Rattus norvegicus: one gene and its partner. The protein of the gene in region 1 binds, or shares a complex with, the protein of each later gene. Links are inferred from orthologs where the notes say so. Each region holds a gene or a part of one and is shown on either strand. Other genes may lie near its edges.

The links. The genes of interacting proteins can lie anywhere in the genome.
Region 2: the proteins of Tuba1a (region 1) and Cfap276 are in contact, whole or in part, in a cryo-EM structure (PDB 7UNG), measured with the Homo sapiens proteins. The link is inferred for Rattus norvegicus from reciprocal best matches to the Homo sapiens genes TUBA1A and CFAP276. Residues at the interface, in NP_001257328.1 of Homo sapiens: Lys112, Glu113, Ile115, Asp116, Leu117, Leu119, Asp120, Arg123, Lys124, Asp127, Arg156, Ser158, Val159, Asp160, Gly162, Lys163, Leu195, Glu196, His197, Ser198, Asp199, Tyr262, Pro263, Arg264, Trp346, Lys430, Asp431, Glu434, Val435, Val437; in NP_001231954.1 of Homo sapiens: Pro43, Trp44, Arg46, Leu47, Asn48, Thr50, Pro51, Thr52, Ile53, Thr54, Ser55, Arg57, Arg58, Ala60, Tyr62, Asp64, Ile67, Pro68, Lys69, Asp70, Asp71, Phe74, Arg75, Lys90, Ser91, Leu94, Leu95, Asn96, Lys98, Thr99.

The regions. Positions count from the first base shown.
Region 1 is NC_086025.1:131,992,179-131,997,364, forward strand, and holds the start of Tuba1a (tubulin alpha-1A chain), read right to left. Parts: upstream 3,642-5,186; 5' UTR 3,576-3,641; coding exon 3,573-3,575; intron 1,819-3,572; coding exon 1,596-1,818; intron 1,465-1,595; coding exon 1,316-1,464; intron 1,151-1,315; coding exon 170-1,150; 3' UTR 1-169. UniProt on the Homo sapiens protein: Tubulin is the major constituent of microtubules, a cylinder consisting of laterally associated linear protofilaments composed of alpha- and beta-tubulin heterodimers.
Region 2 is NC_086020.1:198,852,084-198,857,191, reverse strand, and holds the start of Cfap276 (cilia- and flagella-associated protein 276), read right to left. Parts: upstream 3,064-5,108; 5' UTR 2,961-3,063; intron 917-2,960; coding exon of another isoform or gene 764-916; exon of another isoform or gene 695-763; intron 475-694; exon of another isoform or gene 1-474. Other genes in the region: Elapor1 (endosome-lysosome associated apoptosis and autophagy regulator 1 isoform 1 precursor), read left to right, coding at 764-916. UniProt on the Homo sapiens protein: Microtubule inner protein (MIP) part of the dynein-decorated doublet microtubules (DMTs) in cilia axoneme, which is required for motile cilia beating. May play an important role for the maintenance of myelin-axon integrity.

The sequences.
Region 1 (5,186 bases):
CCCATCAGTGAAGTGGACGGCTCGGGTCTCTGACAAATCATTCACACTTAAAGTCAGTAACTGTATGAAAGCACACATTGCCACATACAAATTAACTGATCAGCCCACAACTTTCTATGTTGGACCAGAATAAACATCCCTGTGAAAGCAGCACCTTGTGACATTTAATTTAGTATTCCTCTCCTTCTTCCTCACCCTCACCCTCCACAGAATCCACACCAACCTCCTCATAATCCTTCTCTAGGGCAGCCATGTCCTCACGGGCCTCAGAGAACTCTCCCTCCTCCATGCCCTCACCCACGTACCAGTGCACAAAGGCACGCTTGGCATACATCAGATCAAACTTGTGATCCAGGCGAGCCCAGGCCTCAGCAATGGCTGTGGTGTTGCTCAGCATACACACAGCTCTCTGGACCTTGGCCAGGTCGCCACCAGGGACCACAGTGGGAGGCTGGTAATTAATGCCAACCTTGAAGCCAGTGGGGCACCAGTCCACAAACTGGATGGTACGCTTGGTCTTGATGGTGGCAATGGCAGCATTGACATCTTTGGGGACCACATCACCACGGTACAGCAGGCAGCAAGCCATGTATTTACCATGGCGAGGGTCACATTTCACCATCTGGTTGGCTGGCTCAAAGCAGGCATTGGTGATCTCTGCTACAGAAAGCTGTTCATGGTAGGCTTTCTCAGCAGAGATGACAGGGGCATAAGTGGCCAGAGGGAAGTGGATGCGAGGGTAGGGCACCAGGTTGGTCTGGAATTCTGTCAGATCAACATTCAGGGCCCCATCAAATCTGAGGGAAGCAGTGATGGAAGACACAATTTGACCTATCAACCTGTTTAAGTTAGTGTAGGTTGGGCGCTCAATGTCGAGGTTTCTACGACAGATGTCATAGATGGCCTCATTGTCTACCATGAAGGCACAATCAGAGTGCTCCAGGGTGGTGTGGGTGGTGAGGATGGAATTGTAGGGCTCAACCACAGCAGTGGAAACCTGGGGGGCTGGGTAAATGGAGAACTCCAGCTTGGACTTCTTTCCGTAGTCGACAGAGAGCCGCTCCATCAGCAGGGAGGTGAACCCAGAGCCAGTTCCCCCACCAAAGCTGTGGAAAACCAAGAAGCCCTGGAGACCCGTGCACTGGTCAGCCTGTGGGAGAAAAGGACATATAATGTCTTATTACCAGGGCATACACTATTTCAATTCCTTTAGACTGTGAGCCATCTCTACCTGATAGGAAAGACCTGACACATTTTGACAGATACCAAGACACCCTCCCACTGCATTTTAAACCCATCCACATAGGGCATTTACCAGCTTGCGAATTCTGTCCAAGACAAGGTCAATGATCTCCTTGCCAATGGTGTAGTGGCCACGGGCATAGTTATTGGCAGCATCTTCCTTGCCTGTGATGAGCTGCTCTGGGTGGAAGAGCTGGCGGTAGGTGCCAGTGCGAACTTCATCTGAAAAAGGAGAAGACATCAGCCATCACCACCAAGGACCCCACAAGCTCACTCACCCTTCCGGGTCTGGAGAGACATTCTGAGTATGTGACCAAGAAGGACTGCCCCAGGGAAGCCCCCAGTCCACTTACCAATAACTGTGGGTTCCAGGTCTACGAACACCGCCCGGGGCACGTGCTTGCCAGCTCCTGTCTCACTGAAGAAGGTGTTGAAGGAGTCATCTCCTCCCCCAATGGTCTTGTCGCTTGGCATCTGGCCATCAGGCTGGATGCCATGTTCCAGGCAGTAGAGCTCCCAGCAGGCATTGCCGATCTGGACACCAGCCTGGCCGACGTGGATGGAGATACACTCACGCTGTGGAAAGGGGGAAAAAATATCATAAAATTAAGTTGTTGTAATATTAAGCTGTACTTCTATTTTAGATTTTAATAGATTTCTAAAGTGTTTCTAAAAATACAAACATTGTTTAAATTTATTTAGTGTCATATCCCTAATATGACAGACACAATGAGGAAGGAGTACCCACTACCAATACTGAAAGTGGGTGTGGCCTCAATGTCACCTTAGTACTGCTTAAGACATGGTGCCAACCCATTGTTCCCATAGCAGTGTTTGAATAGAAGTCTTCATATTTGAAAAATATTCAAAACATAGATTCTGTAAAATGAAATAATTACCCGAAATTACATTAATTGCTTCTTTTCTTGTTAAGTAAGGATGAAGGTTTCATCCTACAGGACCTGGTATTTCAACGTGGACATCTGCAGTGCGGCTGAGGCCAGCAGCCACACCCTTCTGTGGACCCCATTAGTACTCTGGCTAAGCTGCAAGCTAGACCGAGTCTCACAAAGTTTAAGGTTTCATCCTATAGGACCTGGTATTTCAATGTGGACATCTGCAGTGCGGCTGAGGCCAGCAGCCACACCCTTCTGTGGGCCCGGTCAGTACTAGGCTAGGTTACCTGCTATTGAGTCTGACTTCTGCATTGCCGCGTTCTCTGTGCCTGGCTCTAGCCTGTGGTCTGTTACATTATTTAACAGAGAAAGCTCTATTTCCAGAAGCTGTCTACGTGATCTCTTTGTGCAGCTTTCTGCGTGCCTCCCAACCCTGCCTGGGGCCATCTGCCTGAATTAATGAATGAGTGTCATATATTAGAACAAAAGGCAGTCGGGTGCAGAGTATCATTTTTTTTTTCTTTGCAGCAGAATCATTATGGTTTTTGAAGGTTTTCTATTGGATGGGACGGAAACATTCTTAAAGCAGGCTAAGTTAGAAACACAGTGCACACAATTAGTGCCAACAATTAAAAAAAAAACAAGTGAAAAGATAACTAATATTTAAAAGTAGAAAATAGTATTTTTATCCGATGAATCTCTACATACAACATAATAAACCACTATTCTATAGAGAGAGACACTTCTGCCTTGGAGGGACAACTTTCATTGTCTGCGGGGGTTGGGGGCGGGGAAGGGCGTTTCCCTGGGTTCTGACCGTCAGCTACTCGGGCTTCACAAAGTGGGCTTTGTCATTCCCAACCATCCAGCTCCCCTCCCCCCACCCAGCGAGATGGCCCCGTGGAGCATCTCGTAAGACTACAATTCCCCAACGATTCTTTTTAAAAATAAAAATTAATAATAATAATAATAAAAAACCCAGCTCGGGAGTGAGGCTTAGTGAGAGCGAACCCCTCCCAAAACGCCACGGAAGCAAGAGACAAACAACCCCGCCCCTGCGCCTCCCTGACAGCGGCTGCCATGGATCCCAGGCAAACTATTTTCCCAGCGAGTTAGGGCGGCGTTTCTGGAGTGCGGGCTCGGCCGCCGCCCTGCCCTCCTGCTGCAGCAGACCCTGCGGCACCCTCCCTCTCCCCCGCCGGTCCCCTGTGGTCCCGGGCTCTGCCAGCAATCGCTCGCCGGCGCAGCCTTTGTTCTTCCCGGTCTGGGCGTTTCCGTGTCCCGCACTGCGGCGGCGGGACTCACGGACTAAGCTAAACTTAAAGCATCCAGACCACCCTTCCCCGCAGAGATGACAAAAGGCTTAGGCGTCTCCTTGCAGACTGAGCCGGCTGACACCCACCCGCTCCTGAGAGCCCGGGAAGGTTTGCTCACCATGGTTGCTGCTTCGCGGCTGCCGGGTGGATGGCGGAGGCGAGGAGGAGGTGTTGCTTCTTACAGCGCGACTCTTAAGCGGTCGATGTAAGAGAACCTGCGGCACTTGGGCGGATGCGCCTCCTTATATACAGCTCGGTCACCATGGGGATGGGCCAAGGCCTTTTCCTGTTGGTCCAGACCCCTCCGTCTGCCCAGAGAAGCCGCGACAGGAGAGTGGTGATTGGTGCAAGCGACATGGTATGAGGTAATCTCTCCCCCCTTCCCCCCCTCGCTAGCATCCGTAGATTTTGCATCCTTCAGACAAAGGCCTCGCAAAAGCAACTAGCCGAGCATCCATTATGGGGTGGAGCTGGGGAGGGGTAGAGAGGGAAGAAAGAAAACGGGGGTTGGGTGATTATACGGAGCTTAAACCTTAAACTGTAGTTAGGATAATTTAAGGTTTTCCCCAACACTTAATCACAGAATTTGTGTTGAGATTCTTTATGGTAAATTCCAGCTTTTCATTTATACTACACTAAATTTAAATACGTTCCGTCAGGATTCAACATCTCTGTTCGCTTTAAATAAAGTAGCAAGAGCTATGGGAATGATGGTCAAAAAGGCGTGGGTAAATGTTTAGTTTTACAGTTGTATTATTGTGGTTATTATTATTATTACTATTATTATTAATATTTGAGCAAAATTCAGAAGCTCAGTATGAATAGACCACGCCTATGACCCTCAACAGCACCTGGGAGGCAGAGGCAGGAAGACTTGCAGCTCAAGGTCATCATAACCGCCCTTAGTGGTTTATGCCTGTAAATCCCAGCATTGGGAAGCGGAGGACTGCGGTTATTTTGTACCCGGCCTGGATATATAGTGTGATATCCTGTCTCAAAAACCAAAAACAAACAAAGAGAGAGAGAGAGAGAAAGGAAAAAAGAGAAACAATATACAAAGTAGTACTTAACGCTTTACTAGAGAGCTTGCTTTCTTTAGCGGTAGTGCTCTCCCATCACCCCTCCCCGCTCGCCCCCTTACCCGACCCTACCTCACCCCAGAGCCTGTGTTATTTTGTCCCTAGAAATGAGCCATCCCTTCTAATACGGAATTCAGAAACTGTAAGGAGAAAGGAGTGAGTTTAAAAACGAGCTCTTTGTGTGGGCTTGTATTTCTCCAGCGCTCCTTTTTTTTGAGGGGGAGGGGGTGATACCAAGTAAAAAATAGCTGAGATGCCAAATTAAAAAGAGGAGAGTATTATAATATAAAAAGGAAACCATTTTTGCGATGTTGTTTTCATCCCCAGACAACTGTGCAGTGCCAGCCCTGTGCAGTTTTGTGTAGTTCCCTGAATTCCGTAAATAGCCCCTTTCCGCAGCTGGGCTTCTTTCTGACTGTGGGAACTGTAGAGGCTCGCCCCACTGCTACTGTGGTCGTTGCTCAATTGCCCCTTGGGACAAAAATGCCTTGCTTTCACCCCTAGGAGATAGATTACAGTGGCACTCTTTTGCTATGTAGAAAGGCTCCGTTGTCGGCAAGGAAGATCTATATAGAGAGTCTCCGAGCTGCAGACCACTGGTAATTTGCAGGATGAAATTTTAGAGGAAAAGAGATTATTTGTTTGGGCACCAA
Region 2 (5,108 bases), on another chromosome or scaffold:
GAAAGCTTCCCCATTTTCAAATCAATGAGAGTAAGAGAATGTCAAAAAAAAAAAAAATCAAAGATCTCACGTGTCCTAGTTGGAAAATTGTCGATTAGGTCACCCTCGCTGTTTAACTATGCAGACGTCAGGGTTGCTCACCGAGACGGCTGTAAAAACGTGAATGGACTTGGCGGGGTGGAAGGATGGAACTAAATTTTGCAGTTACTGCTGGGGCCACTCTAGGAGACGATCCCTGGAAGATGACGAAGACCTCTGTCTTCCCCCAATCGTTTTATAAGCCATGTTTACAAAATAAGAGAAGCTTAGAAATAGCCTCCCGGCCCGGAAGAGTAATAGGTGCGAAATGAGCCGCTGCAGATGTTTTGAAGGTTCTTCTACTGCGTGCTTTACGTAACGTAAGCCTATTCGGTTACTTGCAAACCCTGGCGCGTGCACTCCCATGCCGCGCGCCAGCGGTGGCGGCTGCCATGGAGACCGGCAGGTGAGCGGCACAGGCGCGCGTGGTCCTTGCCCCACCCGCGCTGAGCGAAGAGGATGCGGTTGTCAAGGCGACATGGATAGGAGGAGGAGAGGACCGAGGGAGGAGGGATGGGCGGCCTTGGCGTAGCCGCAGGGAGGTGACTGAAGCGAGTCCAGCCCCTTGCATCCTCCTCTGTGTACCTCCCTCCTCTTTTTCTTTTTTTTTTTTTTCCTCCTTCTGCCAGCATAAGCAGCTACCGCAGCACCTGAGCCGCTACTGCCGCTGGCTCAGGACAGCGCTATGGCTGAGCCTGGTCACAACCCCCAACCTTCTGCCAGAGAAGGCGGAAGAACTGAAAGGCGCACATCCCGGCTTCTGTGGCTGTTGCTTTGGGCTGGGACCACCTTCCAGGTGACCCTGGGAACCGGACCCGAGCTTCACGCCTGCAAAGAGGTACTGTCCACTCCACCCCCTTGACCTGATCTCACTTTGGTCACCAAAAAAAGAAAAAAAAAAAAAAGAGCTTAGATCCAGAATACAGACCTTGTAGATCCAGTCACAGTTTCAGGGACCACAGAGTTCAATTTTTTTTCTAGGAATAAGTAGGGGTTGGGGGGAGGGAAGCAGGCTGGCATCGTCATGGGTGAGGCCAGCCCATTGGAGGACTCCTAAAATAGACTACCCTCACAAGCTTTCAGCAGCTCTGGCTCCAGGAGTAAGGTCCGAAAGAGTGACAGTTCTCAGAAAGAGAAAGAAGACAGGAGTTGCTTTCCAGATGGGTTACCTAAAAAGTGGTTGAAAACACTGAGAAGCTAAACAGAAAGAGGAAAGGAGGGGACTGGGATAAAAGTAAAGTTAGGGACCAGTAGTAGACTGGGGTCAGAAGCCCTGGAGTCTGAGGATGGGAAGCTCGGGATATCGACCTTAGGATCCTAATAAGTGCCCTCTGTGGTAACATCAGTAGCCCACAGCTGCTGGCTGTGACCCTGTTGGAACGCTTTGCCTGTCCTCTTGCACACTTCATTTAGTGTTTAGCATATGACACACCTTTTCTTGATTTTGAATTCTTTAACATATTTCTCCCACTCTCTCCTTTGAACTTCTCTTAACATATGCCATAAGTCTTTTTCAAGGTGTCTCTAAAATGTTATCAACATAATTCGCGCAGTAGGTAGTGAATGCCTTCTAACAACAACAACAAAATGCTTTTGGAAAATTGTTTTTTGGGGGCCTATGACAAGACCTTAGGAATAGCAAAATTAGTTTCTGTATTAGTGAAATAACAATGTTTGGTTTGTGCTCTAAGTGACTTAAAAAACATATGGTAGAAGCTACGTTGAAATATTTACAAAAAACTCTATTGGGGAAGGCAGAATAAAATTTATCTATGCAGAATGTGAGAGATTTGAAAATACGTCAGAAGTCTAGCGCTGTAGGAGGGATGCTAAATATCAAGCCCAGCCAAGGTTTTGAGGGGTTAAATTAGTCCCTGTAAATCACCAATGTTAATTGACAATGCCAGTGCAGTCCCATAAATACAAGTGTTATTATGTAGGGTCCTAACCACTAGCCTGACTATAACATAGCAAATCCCAAAAGAAGCAAGTGGGATTTTTATATAAATAATGTTTGCCTAAAAGATTCATTAATATTTGAGTGGCCCATGGGTACCAGACTTGGTGGTGCATGCCTTTAATCCTAGCACTTGGGAGGCAGAGGCAGGTGGATCACTGTGAGTTCGAGGCCCGCCTAAACTACCAATCGAGTTCTAGGACATAGCATGTTCCACAAAGGAAGAAAAAAAATGGCTCTGGCTCAGAGGTTAAGAGAACTTGCTGCCTTTGTAGAGAACCTGAATCCAGTTCTCAGATCCCATATGGCTGCTCACAGCCATCTGTAATTCCAGTGTCAGGGGATTTGACACTCAGTCTTGGCCTCTGAGGGCACTGCCTGCATGTGGTACACATACATGCATGCAGGCAAGCATTCATATACATAAGATAAAAAAATATTTTTTTTTTAAAATGAAGTCACCCCATGACTGGGACCTAGCTACGGGGACTATTTTAACCTCTTGCCACCTTAACGTTTGACAGTTGGCGTTCCTCCTAAAGTGCTAGACTTTTGTTTTCAAATCTCTCACCTTTTGCATAGTTGATAAGTGCTGGCCTAGCATGTGTGAGGCCCCGGGTTTGATTCTCCAATACCGAATAAACCAGATGTCGAGACACATGTCTGTAATCTCTGGCACTTGGGAGGTAGGGACAGCAGGGACAGAAATCCAAGATCATTCACAGGTCCGTAGTGAGAGGCAGGCTCCACAGTCATCTCTGACCTTCACGTGCATGCTGTGGGATGTGTTTACCCATATTCATACCCATGTCAAGAACACACTCACAGGAGAACAAAACAGCGATCCCTTGAAAATGGCCCGAGTCAGAGGGCCTTTGAGAACGTTTACTAGTCCCAATGATACCCCGGCTGTGTACACTTTTACCAAGCCACTTCATGATGGAGTTTAAAGATAACCAAGAACAGGATGGCTTCCCAGTAATGTTGGTTCACTGGCCTTGGTGGCCTGTGGTCTAATTGCCTTGCTTAAGAGTTAAACACTGCCATTTCCTTTGTAGAAGATAAGAATTCTACCATACAACTGCCACTGATCATTAGGTCTTTGTCCACTGTGACAGATGAGACCTTGAAGGCCTTGGACACTTACACCATCTTGGTTGAGAGGAAGGGAAGAATATTAACGTAAGAGTTTTACATTGTGCGAATATTTTGTCTTTAGACCTGTTTAAACAACCCATATTTGCTTAGGAGTAAGTGAGCCAGAGGCAGTGGGAAGGGAACACTCCACTCTTTGGGGAGCTGTGAAATGGGTGTCCTGCTAACACCAACCCCAGGGATGACTGTCTTGAAGATGGTAGATAAAAATGGACCTCAAATACAAAATACTTCACCCCTACTTCTTGGTTCAGCTTCTTTAACTAGACCCCCCACCTCTTGCCATGTTGAAATAGCTTTGGAGGCATGCTCTTGGCCTGGGGCACCAGCAAGCTCTGTTTACACTCTCCTTGAGCAAACAACTTCTGAACACCCTTGACTCCAAAATAATCAGGAAGAGAATGAGTCCATTGTTGCAAGTTCTTCACTGAGCACTGTGAACGGATCCAACGAGTTTGGGGGTTTCTAACCCCAAAAGGTGAAAATCTAGTTCGAGGGAGACTGTGTCTTCCCAGTCTCTTCTCTTTTTTCTTATGGATTTCTGAGGAGCCTATAGGGTATTAATGCCGGGGCCTCTTATCAATCCAAGGCTGACCCAAGCGAAAGCATTGCTATCATGGACTATTTATTTATAAAAGCTGAGAGCTCCAACCGGAGCAAGGCAGGAAGAAGGGTGACTTGGCCACAGGTTTTATTGCGGTGGCAGTGCACAGGGAGAGGAGACAGCTGGACGTGTGCCAGGGCCTGGCACTCCTGTCTCAGTTTTACAATAATCAGGGTCACCACTGGATCTAAACATCCTGGACGATGTTTGTCCACATGAATCACTCCTTTAGCGCTGTGCTGGCCCAGGCTAAGTGCCGGCTGCGACCCAAACATTTCTTTAAACATAGTGCAACGAGAAAACTGCCTCTGACATGCTCTGCCTGGTCCTGAGGCTGTTGTTCTAATAGCCCCCAGAGGGACTTCCCAATCCATACTGAAAAGCCCAGGGGGGCCTAGGAAGCGGAATAAGATTTGTTGAGTGAGTGATGACTCTGCCATTTAGTAAGGAATCAAGATTATTAACTTCTGACAGCCTCAGATTCCTATCCTATAAAATGGAGGGAGTCATGTCTATCTGGAAGGGCTGTTGTGAGGATTGAATTAAATTAGATAGCACAGTCAAGTACCTAGTACATACTCCCATTGTATGGTGTTTAAGAAACACTGGTGGGCAAACTAATCATACACACACATAAGAACATATAAACTTTGACCTAAGGTTAATGTGTGTGGTCAGCGGGGCTGCAGTGGTGAGGCAGGCGAGAGAAAAAAGAAAAGAAAGAAAAGAAAGAAAGAGAGAGAGACAGAGAGAGAGAGAGAGAGAGAGAGAGAGAGAGAGAGAGAGAGAGAGAAAGTAACCAGAACCGGGCTACTTGACCTGCCTGGGTAGTAATGATTGTGCAGACAGGGAAGCAGGATGCTTTCTAGATAGAGGGAGGAGTCTGAGGAAAGTTCAACAGATGGAAAAAACAATCCGGGAATTGCAAGTAGACCAGTTGGCTGAAACTTGAAGTGGTGTAAAGCTAGTAGGAGACAAAGTCAGAATGTCAGAATCCATGAAGGATTTCTGGTCTGGAGGGAAGCCTGCTCAGGGAGTATTCCCATAGATATGGTGAAGGGTTGGGGTTATATCTCAGTTGCTAGAACATTTGCCTAGTATTCAAGAAGCCCTTTGTTTGAACCCCAGCATTTATAAACCAGGCATAGTGAGTCATACACTCCTGTAATCAATTTTAAAAATTGTATTTTGGGGAGTCTCTATGTGGGTATGTGTATGTGAATGTAAATTCCCATAGACGTTAGGGGCGTCAGATGCCCCTGGAGCTGGAGGTTTAGGGCGTTATTGTGAGCTGAATTTGGGGGCTCTGCCTCT